4 linked regions of the Arabidopsis thaliana genome follow. The protein of the gene in region 4 interacts with the protein of the main gene of each other region in a pairwise test. Each region holds a gene or a part of one and is shown on either strand. Other genes may lie near its edges.

What was found.
Region 1: the proteins of SHP1 (region 4) and AT3G16160 interact in a two-hybrid assay, tested with the Arabidopsis thaliana proteins (one large-scale study listed by BioGRID).
Region 2: the proteins of SHP1 (region 4) and AT5G18037 interact in a two-hybrid assay, tested with the Arabidopsis thaliana proteins (one large-scale study listed by BioGRID).
Region 3: the proteins of SHP1 (region 4) and AT1G48150 interact in a two-hybrid assay, tested with the Arabidopsis thaliana proteins (one large-scale study listed by BioGRID).

What each region holds. Positions count from the first base shown.
Region 1 is NC_003074.8:5,472,079-5,478,448, forward strand, and holds AT3G16160 (Tesmin/TSO1-like CXC domain-containing protein), read right to left. Parts: upstream 3,270-6,370; 5' UTR 3,013-3,269; coding exon 2,876-3,012; intron 2,769-2,875; coding exon 2,673-2,768; intron 2,536-2,672; coding exon 2,367-2,535; intron 2,260-2,366; coding exon 2,029-2,259; intron 1,942-2,028; coding exon 1,844-1,941; intron 1,755-1,843; coding exon 1,651-1,754; intron 1,560-1,650; coding exon 1,288-1,559; downstream 1-1,287. Other genes in the region: ASPGB1 (N-terminal nucleophile aminohydrolases (Ntn hydrolases) superfamily protein), read left to right, coding at 1-186, 275-361, 461-955; AAE13 (AMP-dependent synthetase and ligase family protein), read left to right, coding at 3,975-4,146, 4,392-4,561, 4,675-4,860, 5,182-5,353, 5,480-5,565, 5,691-5,813, 5,926-6,033. UniProt on the Arabidopsis thaliana protein: Plays a role in development of both male and female reproductive tissues.
Region 2 is NC_003076.8:5,969,472-5,974,281, forward strand, and holds AT5G18037 (NAC (No Apical Meristem) domain transcriptional regulator superfamily protein), read right to left. Parts: upstream 2,096-4,810; 5' UTR 2,058-2,095; coding exon 1,842-2,057; 3' UTR 1,630-1,841; downstream 1-1,629. Other genes in the region: AT5G18040 (target of trans acting-siR480/255 protein), read left to right, coding at 3,485-3,581, 3,751-4,151, 4,244-4,504.
Region 3 is NC_003070.9:17,781,544-17,786,868, reverse strand, and holds AT1G48150 (MADS-box transcription factor family protein), read right to left. Parts: upstream 1,473-5,325; coding exon 501-1,472; downstream 1-500. Other genes in the region: AT1G48160 (signal recognition particle 19 kDa protein, putative / SRP19), read left to right, coding at 1-90; AT1G48145 (plant mobile domain protein), read left to right, coding at 1,956-2,003, 2,057-2,362; DPMS3 (dolichol-phosphate mannosyltransferase-like protein), read right to left, coding at 2,955-3,014, 3,161-3,268, 3,366-3,467.
Region 4 is NC_003074.8:21,734,917-21,742,884, forward strand, and holds SHP1 (K-box region and MADS-box transcription factor family protein), read left to right. Parts: upstream 1-3,243; 5' UTR 3,244-3,859; intron 3,860-3,966; exon of another isoform or gene 3,967-4,215; coding exon of another isoform or gene 4,216-4,233; coding exon 4,234-4,460; exon of another isoform or gene 4,461-5,000; intron 5,001-5,349; coding exon of another isoform or gene 5,350-5,387; intron 5,388-5,556; coding exon of another isoform or gene 5,557-5,593; intron 5,594-5,758; coding exon 5,759-5,840; intron 5,841-5,993; coding exon 5,994-6,055; intron 6,056-6,184; coding exon 6,185-6,425; intron 6,426-6,508; coding exon 6,509-6,550; intron 6,551-6,658; coding exon 6,659-6,850; downstream 6,851-7,968. Other genes in the region: AT3G58770 (uncharacterized protein), read left to right, coding at 1-267; GAUT15 (galacturonosyltransferase 15), read right to left, coding at 7,539-7,823, 7,916-7,968. UniProt on the Arabidopsis thaliana protein: Probable transcription factor. Interacts genetically with TT16/AGL32 in a partially antagonistic manner during flower development. Is essential for the coordination of cell divisions in ovule, seed coat development and endosperm formation.

The sequences.
Region 1 (6,370 bases), about 16 Mb from region 4:
GCTTTGACGGAAAAAGGAACGGTTGAGATGGAAGCTAGCATTATGGACGGTACGAAGAGACGATGCGGTGCCGTTTCGGGGATAACCACCGTGAAAAATCCTATATCTCTTGCTCGTCTCGTCATGGACAAATCTCCCCACTCTTACCTTGCTTTCTCAGGTGCAGAGGATTTCGCCCGCAAACAGGTGTTTATTTACTATTTTACCCTTCCACTTTTTATTCTAAACCACTTGGTTAGATAAATCTTCTGACCGAAGCCGGTTTAATGAGAAGGGAGTTGAAATTGTGGACAACGAGTACTTTGTCACGGACGACAACGTAGGAATGCTCAAGTTGGCCAAGGAAGCTAACTCCATCTTGGTACGTTTTTGACTTAAATCTCCACCGTCCATTTATTCATCGTACGTTTTTCTTTATTTTGTATCCTCAACTTTTTCTTTTTTTTTGCTTTCTCACCAGTTTGATTACCGGATTCCGCCGATGGGATGTGCCGGTGCAGCTGCGACCGACAGTCCAATCCAAATGAACGGTCTTCCGATCAGCATTTACGCACCGGAGACAGTCGGGTGCGTTGTGGTTGACGGGAAAGGACATTGTGCCGCCGGGACATCCACGGGTGGTTTAATGAACAAGATGATGGGAAGGATTGGTGACTCGCCGCTGATAGGAGCCGGGACGTATGCGTCGGAGTTTTGTGGTGTGTCGTGTACCGGAGAAGGAGAAGCCATTATAAGAGCAACCCTAGCTCGTGATGTGTCAGCTGTTATGGAGTATAAAGGACTTAACCTCCAAGAAGCGGTTGATTACGTCATCAAGCATCGACTTGACGAAGGGTTCGCTGGACTCATTGCTGTCTCGAATAAAGGAGAGGTGGTTTGTGGTTTTAACTCTAATGGGATGTTCAGGGGATGTGCAACTGAGGATGGATTCATGGAGGTTGCTATTTGGGAGTGAGAAATATTTTAGATTAAGAAAATGTCTTACTAGTATTTAATCAGTCATCGCTCTATTAATTTGGTTATTCATTATCATAAAGCTGGAGGAGTAAATTTAGTTATGTCGTTATCACCAGTCCTATATTGATTTGTGTTTAATGCGGTTTCAAATGGTTAGTTCGTGTTTAAAATTGTTGATCTGTCTCAGCTCCATGCCTAATCAAGAAACTATGGTTCAGCTCTCTGTTTCTTGTATGAACCTTACCTGTCATAAATAGCAACAAAAAAGTGCAGTAATTGGATTTATTTGAGGATGGAGGGATTATCAAAATGAGATGGAATTATTACCTGTTATGATTCCAGTCTCGATTTGATGAACTTTTGGAGACAGTCTCTGAAAGTTTCAAGCACTGCCCTTTCCTGCTCCATGTATATATCTGTTTCATTGACACTTGTCTTGGTCTTACATTGGGAATCCTCTTCTCCATTGTATTGAACATCTATCAGTTCGATCAATCTTCCACGTGATTGTATTTCTTCTTCCACATTACGACTCTCAGACTCACTTGACAGCTCAATGGCTTCCTTATCATCAGGCTTTGTAAATATCCTGTTCTGGTCCTCTAAGTGAGATTTTAAAGGAAGTATGTTGATGAAGCCAAAGGAATAGTAGATCCAGTAAAGTGTAGATTTTGTAAGAGACTACAGATATACCTGCAGTTGTTGTAGCAGATTCTGACGCTGCAACGAGAAGTGAGCATAAATCTCCCAAGTCCGGAAGAAGTGTAGAGGTGTATCCCATGAGGGACCTTTTCTTTCTAGTAGCACAATGAAAATTCAGTTAAAATATTTATGATTATGAGGTGAAGGAAGATGAACTATCATTTTAGGAAATGCAAAATCGAACCTGTAAGGAAGTTTAGGAGAGCAAGACATAGGGGAACCCAGAGCATTTTGAATGGAATTGTCAGGTATCGAAAATAACGGAGCTGGACAAGAATTCCACTGCTATTCCGGACAGAAAAATGAGTTTTATGGAGATAAACCCAAAAGTGCATATATGTTATGAAGCAAGTAGTATATTTCACTTGCCTCAGTTAGCTCTCGGTCTCTTCTCCTCCGGTATACTTGTGGGGAATTGTGAGCAGAAAATGCAGGAGGCTGGAACGCTTCACTAACATTCTTGCAGTTGATGCATTTACAGTTGTCTGAGCACAGAAGATTAGCCTGAAAGCACTCACAGTACTTCTTCAAACACCTGGTTCTTTTACATTTGCAGCCTCTCGAAAGCAGTCCAGGTTTAGTATCAGGTGCAGCCTTACACTACAATACAAAACACAGAACATCCCAGATACTTACAAATGAAAAAGGATGTGAAATATACCTCTTTGAAGCTTAACCTACAAAAGTGATAGGTGTCAAGAACATACCTGATTATCAGTTAGGCTACCTAAAGCCTTTTCACTGAAGGCATTTGGGTTGCGACCTAGTACATTCACCATAGCTGCTTCTCTAGCATCACATTTCTCAGAGTTGTTATGACAATCAACACAATCACAGTCTGTACATACCACTCCTGATGCAAAACAGTCACAGTACCTAATAACCAAGCGTCAAACAAATATCCAATAATGCATCAATCTACAGCAGATAATAGAAATCTCACTATTCAACATTATACTCAAATCTCTATCAGCTTAACACTAAGTAATTCTTGGATCCTGAAATGAACTTACAACTTTAAACATTTGGACTGCTTGCATCGACATCCTTTGTGTTTCCTCGAAGTAATGCCTTCTTCATCTGTCTTATCCTTTGCTTCTGAATGCTCTCTGCTTCAAAATCAAGACCAGTGGAGATCAGAGAGTAGATTTTGGATTGAAATTACTCAAACGAGAAGCATCTCTAGTGAAAATTGGCAGAGAAACTGGAACAATACCGAGAAATCGGAGGAAAAAGAGGAAGTTCTTTAACAGGAGATTCTCGGAAGACGGGAGATACCTCCAATTTGGTGAAAACGAGCTTCCTAGGGTCTTTCTCTGTCGCGATTTTGCCGGAATCTGCGTTTCCTGTCATATCGGTCCTTGACACATTATAGTCGCCACACAAGTTAGTTCCTCAATTTGGCGAACCGATTAGAGCATGAACGGTGAGGAATCCTCAGAGAAGCGTCGATTCATAGATCAGATCAGATCAGTGTATCGGAGAGTCGCCATGGCTGACAGATATCAGAACAAAAATGGAATGCTGGATCCTAATTCGGAACGATGAATGATTGTCTCTCTCTCGATTTTTTTTTTGGCCAGCTCCAAGGGGTTTTCTAAGAAACAAAAAGGTTCTGTGAACAACGCGAAGGTATTCAAAAGCGAGAGAGAGTGATCTTGGAGGGAATGATGATGTGTTGATGACGAAGATGGAGTTGGATTAAAGAAATCTAATTTCATGATTAATAATTTAATATAACAAAATTAGTCTTCTCCAATGCTCAAACCGGAGACCTAAGATGTACACTCCCTTTAAAAGGTACTGATAAAAAAAAAGTTATTAATTGCATGTTGGCATTAAATAGAATCTTCCTCTAGAGTTCAAAACTTCACAATAATAAAATCAATGCATATCAAAGCATATGTATAAGATGTTAGCTAACCACAATTGTTATTCATCAACGGTCAGGATCACATCACTCAAAATGCAATATTCAGATGGTCTTTAATTTTGTGTAAATATACTTAGAAAGAAATTCACAACACAAATAAATGAGAAAAAGCAAATCAGTAATTAACCTTAAAAAAATGCCTAATAAAGCGTCATTAAAGAATAACCCATTATCGCCTGTCACTCACTTTTAATCATCAAAACACGCCACGTGCCAAACTCTCCACTGAATCAAAGTCGCCAAACGCTTCAGTCGCTATTTCATGATCGACACGAAGGCTCTCTTTTGGCGATTGCAACCACCACCTAAGAAGAACGGCTACGTAATTTGACTGTACGACTTGCGAAAAAAGTCGAAACCTTTTAACGAACCAGACCTAAAAATGACCGCTACGACAACATTAAAGAGTTTCAACTACTTGTCTTTAATTAACCATCGACTCAACCACAACTCCTACGCTATTCTCTCCTCTCCTCTTCTTCCTCGATCCCACCCAGCTTCTACTTCGTTTTCCAATTCTGGGTTTCGATTCTTCCAATCTAACCATCTCTTCTGTAAGTTTTCTTCTTTACCTTTGTTTGGTTTTTGCATGTTACATGTTCGACGAAATGTCTTAAAGATTCGTGCTTTCCATATAGTAACATTGATGATCCGTAAAAACCTGAACAAGTTGTTGTTTTGATCTGAATTTATATTGAAAATTTTGCAGCATCTCCAAGGAACTCAATCTGTTCTTTTTTTGTACATGTAGTTTCTATATATTAATCTGAATTTTATCTATGTAATCAAAATGTTGCAGCTTCACAGTCTGGTTCACTCATGGAAGTGTTTAAAGCAGCTTTTTCAGAAGCGTCTAATTCTTGTGATAGGATTGCGATTAAAGCCGATGGAAAGAGTTACTCTTATGGCCAGCTAACATCGTCTGCTTTGAGGATATCTAAATTGTTCTTAAAAGATGATACGACAAATGTATGGTTTTTGGTTTGAAATTGTAGCTACTATATCTACTACTTGAAGCTATCACACAGTTTGTTTACAGCTTTATGGTTATTGACTTTTTTTGTCTTCTATAAATTTCGTAGGGAGGTCAAGAAACTAAGAAGTATGAAGGGTTTGGTAGTCTAAAAGGAGCTAGAATCGGAATTGTGGCAAAACCTTCAGCTGAGTTTGTTGCAGGAGTCCTGGGGACATGGTTTAGCGGTGGTGTAGCGGTTCCACTTGCACTCAGCTATCCTGAGGCTGAACTCTTACATGTCATGAATGATTCGGTATGGAATCTACTTGCCTTCCTATTTCCTTGTGCTTTAATTTCGGCTCAATTGTTAGGTATTCTTGATCTTATTTTTGTGATCTCAGAATTTTGATCCAAGCTCTTGGTTTTTCTAGCATTAGGTCTTTTTCCATAGACTAAAAAGGGTACTCTGTAGAACAAAGTAGAAAATATTCTAAAAGGCAGAAGTTTTCTGGTTTGCTCTGTTTTCTACCACATTCAAGTTTCACAAAATAAGTGTGCCTTATGCTCTTTTTACTCTCGAGAAAAAATGATTAACATTTTCTTGGGATCTAACCTCGTTGTCTTCGGTTTCTAGGATATATCTCTGTTATTGAGCACAGAGGACCATAGTGAAACTATGAAAACCATCGCAGCAAAGAGTGGTGCTCGATTTCATCTTATTCCTCCTGTTGTTAACTCAACTTCGGAAACTGTTGCTTGCAATCAGTTTCAGGATGACAGTTTTGAAGCAGAAGGAAAGTTTCTAGGTAAGTTTTTGAATATACTTGAGATGGTGAACTTATAATGAAGGCTGCTCTTTTAATTTTTGCCACCTTACCTCAAGCAATTATTGGTCTGGATTTTCTGCATCACTTCAGCCTTTATTTGTGCAGATGATCCAGCATTGATCGTCTACACTAGTGGTACAACTGGTAAGCCAAAAGGAGTTGTTCATACTCACAACAGCATCAATTCCCAGGTATATATCCGACCTCCTTATGTAGCGCATGTCATGTTTCAAATCTACCCAACCTGCAATAGAATGGTCTGCATGTATCTAAATTATGATGTACCTTATAAGCTAGAAGCTTGTATATGTTGCAGGTTAGAATGCTCACTGAAGCTTGGGAGTACACATCTGCTGATCATTTTCTCCACTGCCTCCCACTACATCATGTTCATGGGCTTTTCAACGCTTTATTTGCTCCTCTTTACGCACGGTCTTTGGTAACTTATACTATTGAGATTTGCTTTGGCTAGCTCTTTCAAAATACATTACCTTCGGAAAACATCAGGCTAGTTTTAGGTTTTTAATTGATTTTCACATTCCTTTTTCAAGGTGGAGTTTTTGCCCAAATTTAGTGTTAGTGGAATCTGGCGTAGATGGCGTGAATCATATCCGGTGAATGATGAAAAAACCAACGACTCCATAACTGTATTTACTGGAGTAAGTCTTATTTTTTGTTACTTGTATTCCAGACAAATAATACTAGTTTATGCTTAGCTGTCCCTGCCTCAAGTTAATTGTTTGATTTCTTGTTGCATAATCCTTTTCTTAAGCCTGATATAGCAAGCTTATTAATTGTTTCTAGTGTTAGTTAGTATTTGAATTGAGGGAAGTATTCACTATTCAATGTGAGTTTACTCAATTTTACTATGTAACAAAATGATAGTCTTGGCTGAGTTGATCAGTTTCCAGTTTGCTTCTTGCGCTCTAGATATATAAACAAACATGCTTTGCTTTAGAGAAATTTAGCCTGAGATGAGAAATAGAAAGAAACAGC
Region 2 (4,810 bases), on a different chromosome or scaffold from region 4:
TTTACAAGGGATTTTAAAAGGGTTTTAAAAGATTTACAAGAAATTTTAAAAGGGTTTAAAAGATTTACAAGAGATTTTAAAAGGGTTTAAAAGATTTACAAGAGATTTTAAAAAGGTTTTAAAAGATTTACAAGAGATTTTAAAGGGCTTTAAAAGACTTACAAGAGTTTTTAAAAGATTTTTAAAGGGTTCGAAAGTGTTTTAAAAGATTTACAAGGGATTTTTAAAGAGTTTTAAAAGATGTACAAGAGTTTTTATAATATTTTAAAAGAATTTATAAGAAAAACTTTTAAAAATTCTTGTAACTCTTTTTAAAACCTTTTGTAAAGGTTCACAAGAGATTTAAAATGGTTCAAAAAGAGTTATAAATGTTTTAAATACTTACAATTCTTTTTTTTAAAAGTTAAAAAATGCTTGTAAAGACTTTATAAGAGTTTTAAAAGGATTTACAAAGGTTTAAAATCCCTTGTAAATCATTCTTTGACACTTACTTATGCTTTAAAAACGATTGTAAATCATTTTAACCCCTTTTAAAATCCCTTGTAAATCATTCAATAACACTTACTTATGCTTTAAAACGATTGTAAACCATACAAACACTTTTAAAATCCCTTGTAAATCATTCTATGCCACTAACTTATGCTTTAAAAACGATTGTAAATCATGTTTTACCCTTTTATAAGCTTTTAAAATCCCTTGTAAATCATTCAATGCTTCTTATTTATGCTTAAAAACGATTGAAAATCTTGTAAAACTATTGTAAAAAGCTTTAAAATGATTTACAAAGATTTAAAAAGGTGTTTTAAAGTATTTACCTATGTTTTTAAAGACTTTATAAAGATTTTAAGAGGTTTTAAAATGATTTACAATGGTTTTTAGCAACTACCAAAGCTTTTAGAAAACTTTACAAGGTTTTTTAAAGAGTTTTTAAAAAATTTACAAGGTTTTTTAAAAGCATTTTTTGGCTGGGAAAAAAATTTTACGAGAAAAATTTTTGGCGGAAAAGTTTTTTTTTGGCGGGAAAAAAAGTTTGCCGGAATTTTTTTTTTTGGCGGGAAATTGAAAGTTTCCAAGTACTTGTTATTATTAAATGAGGGTAATTTGGTCATTCTGTTCAAGAAAAAAGATATTTTTAAAAATAAATAATATAAAAGAGTATTATGGCAAAAAGGTAGTCAAAAAATATAGTTTTGCAAATCTCCCATTAATTTAACCAATTTCTTATCCATTTCGTAGGCCAAAGTTTCTCTTTTTCCTTCATAGGCATGGATGGGCCTGATCATTATTAATATCTCATATATTAGATGAGATAATCTCTTTGATCCTCAAAACAAGAAAATATTTTTTCGTTTGTGAAAACAAGAAGGTGAGCAGTTACAAACTCCTCATAAAAATAATGATCTACATGTCTTTAAATAAACAAGAATATACGAGATTTTCCTAAAGTTTTTATGAGGAATTTAAATAAATTATGCAAAGGGAAATATCAAACTAGACACAAAATTGAAGTAAAATAAGATAGAAGTAGAAGTTATTATCCTCTTCACTGAAAATTTACCAAGACACATAATCATGGTCCTTTAAGGTGGCAGAGAACTTGAACATGGAATAATGAGCCACCGTTTTCGAGATAGTATTCTGTCATGGTCCAACCACTGGCTTGTCTCTCACCTTTGACGTAGAAACTTAGACTTCTTCCCAATCACTGCACCGGTATCTTCCAACACGACATCACTCAACTTCCCATGGCCTTTCCAACATCCATCAACCGTCTCTCCTTTGACTTTGCGGCTGATGCGTTTTCCAGTAACGTTTTCAGAGAGATGATTCACTTTCACGAACTAGAACCATTCATTAGGTTCCAAAAAGTTAGTCTCGGTGTGAGACAACCGCCACGGCTCTTTGGCATAGATGTCAAACTTGTCTTCTAATTCAAATTCTTTATTTGATCTTTTGGTAACCTTAGGCCCGATATAACGGATGATGAGTTCTTGGGCAGAAGGATGAAACCAAAACCCAACATGTTCCTCTTTATCGTAGTACTTAACCATCGACATATTCTTTTCTTGTTCTATGAGACAAAGAAAACGCAAATCAGACAAAAAGTTAAGGATCTATATATTATAGCAATAATCCAAGGGGAACAACAAATGATCTTTAGAGCAAAACTGAAAAACAATAATAAACGCGTTGAAGACTTGAAACTTTCAGGTAGACAAATAGAAAAGGTGATTTCGTATATATATGTGGATTTTAAGGATTTTTAATATATTAGGAAAACGATTCTTTAAAAAGGAAATATATCCATGTAATTCAAAGCCAATATTCTTAAAATTAGATAAGTAAGCCAATATCACATTTTTTCTTTTCAAATTTGTAATGTTGGTTTTAGCGTATGATATTTTGTCTACTATTTTCTTTTTAAACTTATTTTGTCTTATATCTTTTTACAAACTAAAAAACAAGATTATTCTTTTACTTATCTAAATAATGTTCAAAGACTGGAAGATTTCTTGCTCTTCTGATATGGAGAGATACTTGTATTAGTACTTGAAGAAGCTTATGCCTCAAATATTTTCTTGCTCTCCAAAAAATGCATTGACATGATCGTGATCGGTTGCACAAAAAATGGTATCCACTCTCTAAACTTTTAGAACAAGTACTCTTTCAAGAAGAAAGAGAAAAAATCTATTTACAACGAATAAGTCGATGTCTAACTCGGAAAAACAAAATGTTGGATCATCATCATTGGAGCCTAAAAGAAAATTGTTGTTAAACTATAATTGTTGCCCTTAAATAAACAGGCAAAAACGATGTTGTTAAAAAGACTTTTAAAAACATTGGCAATGTCATAAAAACGGCAACGTTTTAAGGAAAGTTTCAAACGTCGTCGTCTTGAGGACTAAAGTTGAAGTCTTAAAAAGGCGACACGTTTCGGGACAAAGCTGAGGGGAAATCTTCGCGACGACTGTGAGAGTTTGTTTCGCGAACATTCTCTGAGTTTCTCTCGACGCGACGGCGATTGCGAATGTCTTCTCCTTCTGATTCTCGTCTCTCTGTGTCTCCGGTAATTTCTCTCAATTTTCTCTCTCTGTTGGATTCTTTTAGCTTGTTTTGGATTTGTTACCGATTCTACTCCGTGACTTGGCCTTTCTCAGTGCTATTAGTGAACAGAGATAAACTTTAGGGTTTGAACTTTTTTTTTTGGATGAATGATTTGAATCCTTTTTAACGTTAGAGTTGTTCTTTGTTAATGGAAGCTATCATTGTTACTTTGGTTTACTCTAAAGCTTCTTGTTCGACGATTTTTCCTCTGCAACTAGAAATGGTTGTGTTTATGTCAAAACTTGAAACCATGTTTATGGTTTTCGCTAGTTAGGTCTTGTTTTTGTTTTTCCTTTTGCCTTATCTGCTTGACTCTACTGGATTTCTGAATGTGTTCTTCTGCTGGATTCTACTTGAAACCAGGGATAAGTAATCGAAGATGAATATGATTCAGCGATTCATGCAATCTATGGCAAAGACGCGTGGCCTCTGTCATCCAGATTGCGTAAAAGCAAGTAGTGAGCAAGAAGATTACGGTAAATGAATCAAATCTTGTTCTAGAGAACATTACTTTATTCGCATCGTTAAGAGATACTGTGATTGATTTTAGCTGATAGTAGTTTACTCCCTTTTTAATATAGTCTAATCCTTTGAAAGAGTCATATGAATTGACTACAACATTTTCATTTTTTTTTTGTCTTGCAGATGCGTCTCAGCTCAGTATTTGGTGGATAATGCTGGGAAGGAAGACGACCAGGGAGAAATGGATGAACCAAGCTCTCAGTTCACTATCGAAAACTTGCATCAGTATATGGTGGAAAATGTCTGGAATAAGAGGTAAGATGTGCAGGGAGAGGGAGCAACCACTCACTGTCAAAGACTGCCTTGAATGTGCTTTCAAGAAAGGGCTACCGAGAAGAGAACATTGGGCACATGTGGGATGTACATTCAAGGCTCCCCCATTTGCTTGTCACATACCCCGCGTGCCCATGAAAGGAGAAGTGATTGAGACTAAGAGTTTGGATGAAGCGTTTAAGCTGTTGATTAAACAACCGGTGGGTGCAAGACTCCATGTGTTCAGTCCAGACCTTGATAATGTTGGAGAGGTAAAGTGTTGTGAGATAAATTTCGAAATTTTCAAAGATCAATGACAAAGTTTTGATCTAATCTTATTCAACCTTTTTTTTTTGTGTGGTAGGGAGTTTACGAGGGCCTGTCTAGCCTGTCTCGTAAGGAATCACGCTATGTTGGACTTAGGGATGTCATCATAGTTGCAGTGAATAAGTCCGAGGGAAAAACTGTTGCTACTGTGAAGATATGTTACAAGAAGAAGACTTCATTTGTCAAAGTGTGTTTGAGCCGTATGTTTGTCCAGCTTGGTGGTGGCGAGGAGTCTCAGGTGAAAGAGCCAACAGGTCTGCTTGTTGACTTCTGTATCCCACGCTTATCTATCAACTAAACAAGAGCTGAGATCTTGGAAAGTATCTCCTAGTTGTGGAACCTCTCTATGTTGGTCTCATTTTAAGAATGTTTTATCAGACTTATTTTCTGTTTTATGTATTTTGAAAACCGTATGCTTGTTGTGAAACTCTGTTTGTGGTCTCAAGTTAAGTTTGTTTTATGAGACTTTAATCTGTGTCAAGAATTGAGATGTTGATCGCTACTTCTTGGATAAATTATATCTATAAAATTTAAGAATTGCATTTGATGGAAAGTCTTATATGTAAGCAAAAAAGATTACTGGAAGCCTCAATGGCACCAAAAG
Region 3 (5,325 bases), on a different chromosome or scaffold from region 4:
CAGAAAGCGAAGAAGCAGGAACCTCAGGCCACAACTTCAACCTCTGGAACTTCTTCAAAGTCAGGCAAAGGTGGCAAGAAGAAGAGATAAAACAAGCCAAGCCCTCCCTCTCTCTCATCAGATTTTATGGCTTTTAATCTCTTTAACTTTCTGAGAAGAACACAAAGGTGTTTGCAGGTGTAACAATGTTTCAAATAGAACATCGTCTCTTTCAACCCTAAGCTACTTTGTTTTCACCATTCTACTTCTTCTTTTTGGCATCATCCATTGACATTAGACAAGAAAGAATGCCTAAAAAGGGAACATAAAGATATTGTAATTCACCACAATTAGTCTCACTAACCACAGCCATAACCAAAATCGAAATTACAGAATCAAAAGAGTTGAGATAAAACAGATATCTATAGATCGTTACACACAACAACATAAATGGTAATTACCTAATGAACTAACTAAAACCGTAATTAACTATGAGATCGTGCTTAATCAAGCTGTGAGAACTAACTAAAACATGGGCATTCCATTGCTTCTTCGCTTAAGTATTCACTTATGTCGATCAATAACTCGTCGTCTTCGTTGGTTGAGGAATGATCTTGAAGAGGAACCTCAAGATTGTTGTCGTCCTTAAAAAGACCAAACACGTCGTCGACATCTAGGTTTTCCCAAAAGCTCTGATCCTCCTCTGTGAACATCGGTTGTGTTTGTGTTTCTTGGGGAAGACGCATTCCGTTATTCTCTTCCTCTGTTTCACATAAGAGGCCGTCAACAAATCCAGAATCTTCATTCACCAAGTAACGAGATTGATCAGATGATGACTCGCTGCCAACAGAGAAAACAGGGTTTTGATCAAAACAAGTAGTAACTTGTGACGAAGGCTCAAGTGAGGAGTAAGAGTTCTGATCAAAAGAAACAATTTTTAAGGAAGACGGAGACAAGGTACTAGGGTTTTGACCAAAATCAGAAGCAATTTGAGAAGACGAAGAAGAAGACCCACTGTCGTTGTTAGGGTTTTGATCGGATTTAGAAACAGAGTGTGATTTTTCTTTCTTCTCAAGATAATCCATGAGATGCTTCTTCGTTCTCATCAAACGATCTTCGATGATTCTTAACTCAGACAGATCGTCACAATCACGGTAAAGATCGGGCTCTTCCCACCAAAACTTGGCTGATTCAGGGTTAATAGTAGTCTTGGGAGGAGACTTGTTGTTGAGGTAACAGTCAACAATTTCAGAGGCATGAGAGTAGCCCGAGAATGAATAAACGACATCGGAGTTCTCGTCAGGAGAAGTTACAAAAACGGCTATGTTGGCTCCGGAGAGAAGGCAAAGATCAGCCGCTTTGGAGAAGAGTGTGGGACGGCGTTTGCTGCAAGCGACGGATCGTTGTTGTTTAGTCATGCGTTTCTCAATTTCAATCTTTCTTTTTGTTCCTCTTTTCCTCATTGTGCAATCAGTTACGTTCGACGACTGCATTATTAGGGTTTGTTTTGTGTCTTACAGAGAGAGATAATGGAATCGAGAGAAAAAGAGAGAGTGAAAAGAGAGTAGAGGCAAAGCACAAATATATAGAGATTAGATAATACTAATGTCGGTATTATCATGTGACTCGGTCAAACTTAATTTTTTTAATTTTTACCAAACAAACATTTTCATTAAGATCATCAAGATTATTGCATCTAATCACAACTGTTATCATCAAATATCAACACAAACACTATAAATTCAGAATCAGATTATGCATGAGAGAAGAGAAAAGAAGAAGAAAAACAGGATCGTACTTGGAGAGTAATACAACACAAGCACCCACATCCTCCTTAACCAAAACAACAACAACAATATCAGACAAACAACCATAAACAGTAAGAAGAAAAGATCAAACACAAAAAAAAAGCTCCAACAAAGTTGTTGAAGGGTCAGCAGAGGAGAGCTCAAGCTCGAACCAAAGTGTTTGATGTAATGAAGCAGAGAAGGAAGATGCTGATGGAAGGATCAATGCATGAGAAGGTGCTAGCATTAAAGGCAGACAACAACAAAAAAAATCTAGCCCTCATAAAAAGTTTGCTTCTGGATGCACGAATGGAGATGAAACAAGAAAAGCATATAAGCATAAGGTTCTGAAGTCATCTGATGAGTCAAACATTCACATCGCTGTAGGGGATGGAAATGAGGGACAGGATTGTTGTTTGCTTCATGATGATAGCATCAGAAGTGAAGAAACTATGAAATCCAATGAGCAGTACTCTGAAAAGGGAAACAATGATTTTGGTGAAGGTGATGTTGATAACAATGACAAGACTGATAAGAGATTTCAAGAGCTGAATGTGCTAGCATTGTCGATAGAGGAGCGTATTCTTAAGGCATAAAGAACTGTGGCATGGTTGAACGAAAGGAGAGCCATAAACACACAGAAAAGCAGCTGGTTTGAATTAGGTGTTGTTGTGGACAGATAAAGAAAGGAGAAGGCAAATGCAAGTTGAATATCAAAGTCATATCTTTATGATCTTTTTGGTTCAGTGTCTTTTGATTTTCCTGCTTAGTATCTTTTAAAAACTGGTTTGGTTCCAAATGTTTCATTTGTATCTTTTGAAACCTACTCAGTTATGAGCGACTTAATACCTTCTTGGTGTGTTGCATATCAGAGTTTTCGTACAGAGGATAGCCTGATTCAATCTGTTGATGCGATCTCTTTTGCATACCTGGAGAACTTACTAGACACAAAGGCCAAAGCTTTATGGTAATTCACCACAAGAAAATGTAAATGCTTCTATTGTTACTAATAAGTTTCTGCAATTTGGAATATTTGTTATACTTTTGCGATTACTTTTGGATGCATACGAAGCTTTTGCGTTTTACCTCAGTGACACTGTTAAATTCAAAAATTCCAAACAGTACAGTTAAGTCTTTTGTCAATAACGAAAAATATCTCTGATGAATGGTCTGATAAAAGCCTTTGTGTCAATTCGATCCAACATCTACCCCTTTGTGCTTGAAGAAGTCCTTAGCCTCTGCAATATCCTGCAACCAAAGAAACAGATAAAAGACACTAAATTAGCAAAAATATTGAAGGATGTCAACATTAGATAACACGAATCCGTATAGAGCAGGATGAAAAATAAGAACAAGGCCGACTATGGCAAACAAAGAGCTAGTCTCAAAAGTACCTTCTGCAGCAGAACTGCTTCTTGGGGGCAAGTAGGAAACTGCATGAGCCCGACTCCAACCATTAATAGGCCATAGCATCCGAGGGATACAACAAAGTAGATCGGTAGCTGTAAGACAGACCGGCAATAATACCAAATCAGAACAGAATCCTAATTTCAAAAAAGCAAGAAACCAAAAAAGAGGACAAAATTGTTTGTTACTCACCAACCATGTATGGCTTCGAGGAATAATTGCAGCCTGCAAAAGACCAATCCAGAAGGCAGAGATAGCCACCAACAGGCTCAAGATCTTTACTATATGCTTCATTTGTCCTTTAAAGTAAAAAATTATGTAAAAGAGTTTAAGTTAGCTGCGAATAGAAATGCATAGACGATCACAGCATTCTCCAAGAAGTTGTAGAGCATGTAAAAGAAATCACTCAGCGAGCCTAATAAACAAAATCTAGTAAATCAATGAACTATTCACAATTTCGTAGTTGTCATGATCAACACATATATTCCTCAAGAGCAATATTAACATCCCATTTACCCCACCAAAATTGATCACAAGCTCAAACCATAAGAAATATACCAATAATAGCTATCAGTTGTAACTAGATGGAGTCTCAACAAAGCAAATGGATTTTCATGTTTCAGTGTGTAATGTTCACTAACACAAAGACGCGCACATAATTTCCAAACATCAAAGTAAAACTAGAATCTAGCACAATCTGAACAGCTCAGTAACCCAGTTTATACAACTCAAACCATCATGCTATATCCAGATCAATCCGTACTTTTTCGACAATGACCTCTGACTGGGATAAACAAAATAAGAAATTGAAAATTATCTGACTCCGAAATATTGTAACATCAAAAAAAAACAATTTCCAATTCCTGAGATGATCAAGTCCGAACTGAAGCTACAGAACCGATACAAAATCAATGAGTTCCAACAGTTCCTCAGACCAAACGTCAAGAACTCAAAGTCTCAGACCATACGAAACTTAATCCTAAGAATTGTGTTAGCTTCCAAGAATCCAAATTCACAAATGCTGATCATGTAACATCAGAGGAGGTAAGAAAAACAATCACAGGAACCAAAGCAATAGCAAAAAAAATCCCTTACATTCAGGCAAGAAGCATTTAAAAAACAAGAATTCTAAAGAACCTGAGCTGCTTAAACAGGATTTGAATCGAAAGCATCTGAATCGAACCGTGTAACAAAAAACAGGATTCCAATTTCATATCGCTACCACTGATGACTGATCAGTAACCATAGAAACATTTCTAGACGAAATTTTTATATGGTTCCTTAAAACTACATAGTTCTATCACCAAAAACCGAAAACAGTAGCACAAAAGTTTCCTAGAATCATCTGAAAGCTTATACTAAATTAGCTAAATAGTACACCAGAACAAACACAAGGTAAATCACCAAATCAAGATAAAACCATGGCAAAGAAATATAAATTCCCAACAAAACCGATCCGAAAGGAGATGTTCCTCCAAAAAATTATCGTAAATCGATACAACACACAAAATAAAGAGGAGGAATCGATTATACTCACAGTTAATCGATGAGATCGTGATCGTCTAAGCGATAAAATCAGTTATAGAAGATTAATCTGGGTGTGGAGGTCACAAGTACTCGCCGTCGACGACGATGAATCGACGATATAACAACCGGTGAATACGGGGAACTCGTGAATATGCGAATTCACTTATACACTAAAACGATGCCGTATAGTCCCCACTTATGTTCCTCCGGTCTAAATGTCATTAATCCACATTTTGGTTCACGCTATATCGGTTTGATGCGGTTTCATATCGGTTTCATTCGGTTTGATGCGATATTCCCCTTTTGTCACTTTTAAGTTCGGTTTTAAAGTCACTTTTCCATACAGATGAGAGTATTAGCATTTTCATAAGCTCAATACGTTTTTCAAATATATCAACTTTTACATTTGATTCGGTTTCAATTCTTGATCAAAAGCAAGGATTGAAGAATTCGGTTCTCTATTCCAATCCGACTAGTAAATAAATCGTCGTACTAAACCACTCTATATAGAACAAACTTCTTTTTATTAATACAAGGCCTACACCTAGTGCACCACATCATCACCATACGTTACAAACGTAATTATTTTTGTTTACACGTACGTAAAAACATTAATATCATACAA
Region 4 (7,968 bases):
ACAAATTCTGCTAGACGGTCACAGACTCCTTGGGCTCAAAGTTCATCTGAGAACTCTTGTTCTGAATTGTCTTTCGTCAACCCCAGCGAGCAACTAACGTCCTTCTATGGGTCAAGGTTATCTTCGTCCATAAACGTTGGAACTACAAATAAGCGGGTAGCACCCGTAGAGGAGTATCCAATGAAGAACCATAAAGTCCCCAAGTTGCTGCCAATGCAAGGTGGCTTAAATTATGTTAAAGAATTTCTTTGCAGGCCAGCAAATTAGGAAATCACTAATCTAGGAGTCTAAGGGTATATAGCCTTGTATTGTTTGAACCATCCCTTGTGTGTTTTATGAATTATTTGGTGTTAGTGCCTTACTCGGAATGAATTGTTGTACATGATTGCCTTGTTTAAGTCGTACAACACCAAAAGCTTCTAGATCCGTATAAGCATGCGAGTCCCCTCTAGAAATTCTGCGTTTGTTCTGTATACTACTATGATTCTATCTGGAATATCTGGATCATCTAGCTAGCAATTAAAGAACATAAATCGGCATCAAGATAAATTTGTTCTTAGTGTCATGTATCAATTTGGAATCCATAAACATTCTTATATGCACGTTATTCAAGATCACCAGGAAGAATCTTGAGTGAGATAGTAAAATAAAGAATATACTCCAACAGACCCAAAACAAAAAAGGATCAAACTGATGCAAAGAAGATCTGATTCTCATTTGGTCTTTTGTTTTTGGGTTTTATCCTCATTTGGTCTTTCTTCACAAATCCTTACTTATGTGTCTCATTTTTTTCATTTCTGTGTTTTTATCTAAAACACTTTTAAAGAAGTTTTTGAAAGAAGTACTTATATGTGACTTTTTTATTAAAAAAAATAAGGTTTCTCAATTTTTCCCTATCAAAAGAATTGGAATCTCTAGATTTTAGATAAAACTTATTATGCATATATAAAAAAAAATTAAAAAAACAACGCATTTAGACTTTGCAGTAGTCGAGATGCATACAAAATTAACCAGAAGTTGTATTCAGCAGTGGTCAATTTTTTTATAAAAAAAGAAATTGCCAATGATTAAACTGAGAGCTTGTTACCCGTTAGAGTACTTCTAAATGGCTTTAAACTTGCATCTAACAGAAATTAAACTAGAGATATTATTAGCTGGTGAAAATAACCATAATTTTTTCCCGCAAAGATGAAACAAAACATAAGTCCTTCCAAATGTTTGAAATGACTTGGCACAATTTAAGATAAGTTTTGACTTTTGACTAAATGATTAATAGTAAATGCAATTACTAATTACAACGAAAGACAGGGAGGTATGGAACAAAGAGAGTTTCCATTTGTAAACGAATAGTTAATGTGAACTGTGACAAGGGTTGTGGATGATTATGACTATTCGTATGATTAGTCACCATTCCTTAATTTCTTGTTCCCTCAATTAAGTTGTCTTCTCATCATTTTTTTTTAAAATATTCATCCTGAATATAACCAACAAACAAAAGGTTCGAGTATCTATAAATTCCGCAATGCAATCTAAATTGGACTACTAGTGAGATCTGCAACAGTGAAAAGAGAAAACAAAATGGACTTGAAGAGGTTTTGACAATGCCAGAGATAATGCTTATTCCCTAATATGTTGCCAGCCAAGTGTCAAATTGGCTTTTTAAATATGGATTTCTGTATCAGTGGTCATATTTGTGGATCCAACGTATTCATCATCAAGTTCTCAAGTTTGCTTTCAGTGCAATTCTAATTCACACGTTTAACTTTAACATGCATGTCATTATTATTACTTCTTCACTAAGACACAATACGGCAAACCTTTCAGATTATATTATCTCCATAAATGAAATAATTAACCTCATAATCAAGATTCAATGTTTCTAAATATATATGGACAAAATTTACACGGAAGATTAGATACGTATATTAGTAGATTTAGTCTTTCGTTTGTGCGATAAGATTAACCACCTCATAGATAGTAATATCATTGTCAAATTCCTCTCGGTTTAGTCGCTAAATTGTATCTTTTTTAAGCCTAAAAGTAGTGTATTCGCATATGACTTCTCGTCCTAACTTTTTTTTTAATTAACAAAAAAATCGAAAAGAAAATAATCTGTTAAATATTTTTTAAGTACTCCATTAAGTTTAGTTTCTATTTAAAAAATGCTTGAAATTTGACAGTTATGTTCAACAATTTTGAATCATGAGCGATGTCTAGATACTCAGAATTTAATCAAGATGTCTTATCAAATTTGTTGTCACTCGAGGACCCACGCAAAAGAAAAGACTAATATGATTTTTATTTGGTCTGGATATTTTTGTAGAGGATGAAACTAAGAGAGTGAAAGATTCGAAATCCACAATGTTCAAGAGAGCTCAAAGCACAAAGAAAAATGAAGATGAAGGACTAAAGAACAATAAGCAACTACTTATACCCTATTTCCCATAAAGGATTCAGGTACTAGGAGAAGTTGAGGCAAGTTTCACATGCAAGTCCCTGTCATCATATATCCATATTATACCACACCTACGTCTCTATGTGTATTTCTTGGCATCGACTTTCTCATGAATGATTCAAATTTTCATTTATTTTTACAATTTAATTCACCTAAGATTATTATGCATTTCTCATCATTGGTACATTTTCTGTATAGCGTATTTACATATATGAAATAAATTAAATATGTCCTCACGTTGCAAGTAGTTAATGAATGTCCCCACGCAAAAAAAAAATCCCTCCAAATATGTCCACCTTTTCTTTTTAATTCCAAAATTACCATAAACTTTTGGTTTACAAAAGATTTCTAGAAATTGAGGAAGATATCCTAAATGATTCATGAATCCTTCAATAATCTGAAGTTTGCGATATTTTCCGATTTTCTTCAAGAGTTGCGATATTTGTAATTTGGTGACCTTAAAACTTTTTTTGATAAAGAGTAAAACGTTTTTTCTTAAAAGTAAAACTTGATTTTATGTTTTAGGGTTCTAGCTCAACTTTGTATTATATTTCTTGCAAAAAGAGTTCGTTAACTGCATTCTTCAACACTATAAAGTGATTATCAAAAACATCTTCATGAACATTAAGAAAAACAATATTTGGTTTCGGTTAGAGCTTGGTTTTGCTTGGCTTGATTCACATACCCATTCTAGACTTTGGCATAAATTTGATACGATAGAGAGCATCTAATGGTAATGCAGAAGGGTAAAAAAGGAAGAGAGAAAAGGTGAGAAAGATTACCAAAAATAAGGAGTTTCCAAAAGATGGTTCTGATGAGAAACAGAGCCCATCCCTCTCCTTTTCCCCTTCCCATGAAAGAAATCGGATGGTCCTCCTTCAATGTCCTCCACCTACTCTTCTCTTCTTTCTTTTTTTCTTTCTTATTATTAACCATTTAATTAATTTCCCCTTCAATTTCAGTTTCTAGTTCTGTAAAAAGAAAATACACATCTCACTTATAGATATCCATATCTATTTATATGCATGTATAGAGAATAAAAAAGTGTGAGTTTCTAGGTATGTTGAGTATGTGCTGTTTGGACAATTGTTAGATGATCTGTCCATTTTTTTCTTTTTTCTTCTGTGTATAAATATATTTGAGCACAAAGAAAAACTAATAACCTTCTGTTTTCAGCAAGTAGGGTCTTATAACCTTCAAAGAAATATTCCTTCAATTGAAAACCCATAAACCAAAATAGATATTACAAAAGGAAAGAGAGATATTTTCAAGAACAACATAATTAGAAAAGCAGAAGCAGCAGTTAAGTGGTACTGAGATAAATGATATAGTTTCTCTTCAAGAACAGTTTCTCATTACCCACCTTCTCCTTTTTGCTGATCTATCGTAATCTTGAGAACTCAGGTAAGGTTGTGAATATTATGCACCATTCATTAACCCTAAAAATAAGAGATTTAAAATAAATGTTTCTTCTTTCTCTGATTCTTGTGTAACCAATTCATGGGTTTGATATGTTTCTTGGTTATTGCTTATCAACAAAGAGATTTGATCATTATAAAGTAGATTAATAACTCTTAAACACACAAAGTTTCTTTATTTTTTAGTTACATCCCTAATTCTAGACCAGAACATGGATTTGATCTATTTCTTGGTTATGTATTCTTGATCAGGAAAAGGGATTTGATCATCAAGATTAGCCTTCTCTCTCTCTCTCTAGATATCTTTCTTGAATTTAGAAATCTTTATTTAATTATTTGGTGATGTCATATATAGGATCAATGGAGGAAGGTGGGAGTAGTCACGACGCAGAGAGTAGCAAGAAACTAGGGAGAGGGAAAATAGAGATAAAGAGGATAGAGAACACAACAAATCGTCAAGTTACTTTCTGCAAACGACGCAATGGTCTTCTCAAGAAAGCTTATGAACTCTCTGTCTTGTGTGATGCCGAAGTTGCCCTCGTCATCTTCTCCACTCGTGGCCGTCTCTATGAGTACGCCAACAACAGGTACGCTTCTCCTACTCTATTTCTTGATCTTGTTTTCTTAATTTTAACTAAACAAGATCCTAGTTCAAATGATAACAAAGTGGGGATTGAGAGCCAAGATTAGGGTTTGGTTAATTTAGAAAACCAGATTTCACTTGTTGATACATTTAATATCTCTCTAGCTAGATTTAGTACTCTCTCCTCTATATATGTGTGGGTGTGTGTGTAAGTGTGTATATGTATGCAAATGCAAGAAGAAGAAGAAAAAGTTATCTTGTCTTCTCAAATTCTGATCAGCTTTGACCTTAGTTTCACTCTTTTTTCTGCAAATCATTTGAACCTGATGCATGTCAGTTTCTACAATACACTTTTAATTTTGACGGCCCATCAAATTTCCTAGGGTTTACTTCAGTGAAAAAAATTGGGTTCTTGACACGATTTAGCATATATATATAAAAATAGGGGATGATCAAGACTTATGTAACCTCTGTCTGGTGAAACTAGGGACAAAGTCTACTGATGAGTTGTCACTAGGGATCCATTTGATCATTTAATCCCAACAAAAATGAAACAAAATTTTGAGAATTTATATGCTGAAGTTTTTCAACCCTCTTTTTTAAATAACTTTATATTATGTAGATTTGTATTTAGGGTAATTTGTCCAACTAGAAGTCCTAAAAATCAATAAACACACGGATGACTTTGTCTAACATTGTTATCAGTCATCAAATGTAAAATTGTACAAATAATGAAATTAAAGATTTAGTCTCTTTTATTTTTTTTGTTTAGGGTGTATATATATATATATATGTATATTTGTTGCATTGATATATCAATGAGAGGGAGAGAACTCAGAGAAGTGTCGGAAATTAAAATGGTACGAGCCAATTGGAATCTCTGGCATTCTGAGCTTCATTTATTTGTTATTAGAAAAAAAAAAAAAAAAAAGTCCTTTAAAGATACCTTCATGATGACATTGAATCATGTAATATACACGATACATGGTCTAATTCCTCCTCAAACCCTAATTACCAATTTCGAAACCATAATATTTACTAGTATGTTTATATATCCTTACTTTAAGACATTGTTTGTTTATAATACCTTGTGAATTAAGAAAAAAAAAAAAACTTGTGGATCTATTCAAGCCATGTGTTAGAATAAATTTATAAATTTTCTCCTCGTACTGGTCAGATATTGGTCCAAACTCCAAAGCCTTCCCTTTTCAGGAAAAAAAACATTTCGAAATTAACTCTAATTAATCAAGAATTTCCTACAATGTATACATCTAATGTTTTTTCCGCGATCTTACTTATTAGTGTGAGGGGTACAATTGAAAGGTACAAGAAAGCTTGTTCCGATGCCGTCAACCCTCCTTCCGTCACCGAAGCTAATACTCAGGTACCAATTTATATTGTTTGATTCTCTTTGTTTTATCTTCTTCTTTTCATTATATATATGATCAACAAAAAATATAACCTACAAAAAGAGAGAGTTCTTGGAAATGCATTGAAACGGTTTCGTTATGGTGTTTGAATACATGGATTTTTGAAGTACTATCAGCAAGAAGCCTCTAAGCTTCGGAGGCAGATTCGAGATATTCAGAATTCAAATAGGTAATTCATTAACTTTTCATGAACTCTTCGATTTGGTATTAGGTCACTTAATTTGGTGTCGGTCCAAAAGTCCGCTTGTAGTTTTCTTTAGAAGTTGTTTTGTTTAATGTTCATGTTTACAAATTGAAGGCATATTGTTGGGGAATCACTTGGTTCCTTGAACTTCAAGGAACTCAAAAACCTAGAAGGACGTCTTGAAAAAGGAATCAGCCGTGTCCGCTCCAAAAAGGTAAAATCTACGTTGCTCTCTCTCTGTGTCTCTGTCTCTCTCTCTATATATAGTCCCTTAGTTTATATAGTTCATCACCCTTTTGTGAGAATTTTGCAGAATGAGCTGTTAGTGGCAGAGATAGAGTATATGCAGAAGAGGGTAAGAACGTTTCTCCCATTCCAAGTAATTAGATCTTTCTTCGTCTTTGTGAGGGTTTGAGTTTTCCCATAAATCATGTGTAGGAAATGGAGTTGCAACACAATAACATGTACCTGCGAGCAAAGGTTAGCCACGTTCTGTTCCAAATCTTAATCTCAATATCTACTCTTTTCTTCATTGTATAACTAAGATAACGTGAATAACAAGAAAACTTTTGTTTTTGGGTTTAATAGATAGCCGAAGGCGCCAGATTGAATCCGGACCAGCAGGAATCGAGTGTGATACAAGGGACGACAGTTTACGAATCCGGTGTATCTTCTCATGACCAGTCGCAGCATTATAATCGGAACTATATTCCGGTGAACCTTCTTGAACCGAATCAGCAATTCTCCGGCCAAGACCAACCTCCTCTTCAACTTGTGTAACTCAAAACATGATAACTTGTTTCTTCTCCTCATAACGATTAAGAGAGAGACGAGAGAGTTCATTTTATATTTATAACGCGACTGTGTATTCATAGTTTAGGTTCTAATAATGATAATAACAAAACTGTTGTTTCTTTGCTTAATTACATCAACATTTAAATCCAAAGTTCTAAAACACGTCGAGATCCAAAGTTTGTCATACAAGATTAGACGCATACACGATCAGTTAATAGATTTTAAGTGCCTTTTAATATTTACATATAGTTGCAGCTTCGATTAGATCATGTCCACCAAACACTCACAATTAGAGACAAGCAAAACTATAAACATTGATCATAAAATCATTACAACATGTCCATAAATTAATTATGGATTACAAAAATAAAAACTTACAAAAGATCTATAATGTGATAAATTAATGTGTAGCTATAATTAAACAAAATTACATTTTTTACTATAGTTACTACTTGAGATAATGATCTCAAAAAGAAGCTTCATACGCTTAAAGTCTAATTTGATACTGTCCTTTATCTAAATTACTGTTTAGTATATGGACATGAGAGAAATATGAGCAGAGGCTGAAGGCTTAAACCTTCTTCCCTCTGTTCTCTCACACAGCCGCAAGTATTGGCTTCATCACTCAGTTTTCTCTTTTCTTTATATTTGTTTTCTAATCTGTTTTTTAGTCTCAGTTCATGATTTTGCATTTTCTAACGAAGATGTCGGAGGAATTTACGTATCTATACCAAAGAGATCGTACCTCAGGGTTACTGATCTCTAGCCACGGTTTTGCTGGACCGCTGAAATGTAAAACCGAAGCAGATTTCAGAATCTCTTGAGGGGATTTTACGGATCGAGAACCTAGTCCAGCGACGTGCCATGATGGTTCAAGAGACTGTGTAAGTCCTTTGAAAGCAAGTAATGTCGGTGGTAAAGCCCCTGGTTGCCATAATTGTAGTCCTGACCTAACACTCTGCATTAAAATTAAACATCAGAATTTGTGTAACTAGTTAGAGTACGGAATACATAACGCAAAAACTGAGATCGTTCTATATTTACACTCACGAGTCTTAGCCATGTAGAGTAAGCTTCAGTAATATTGGTTTGTCTCCAGGCTT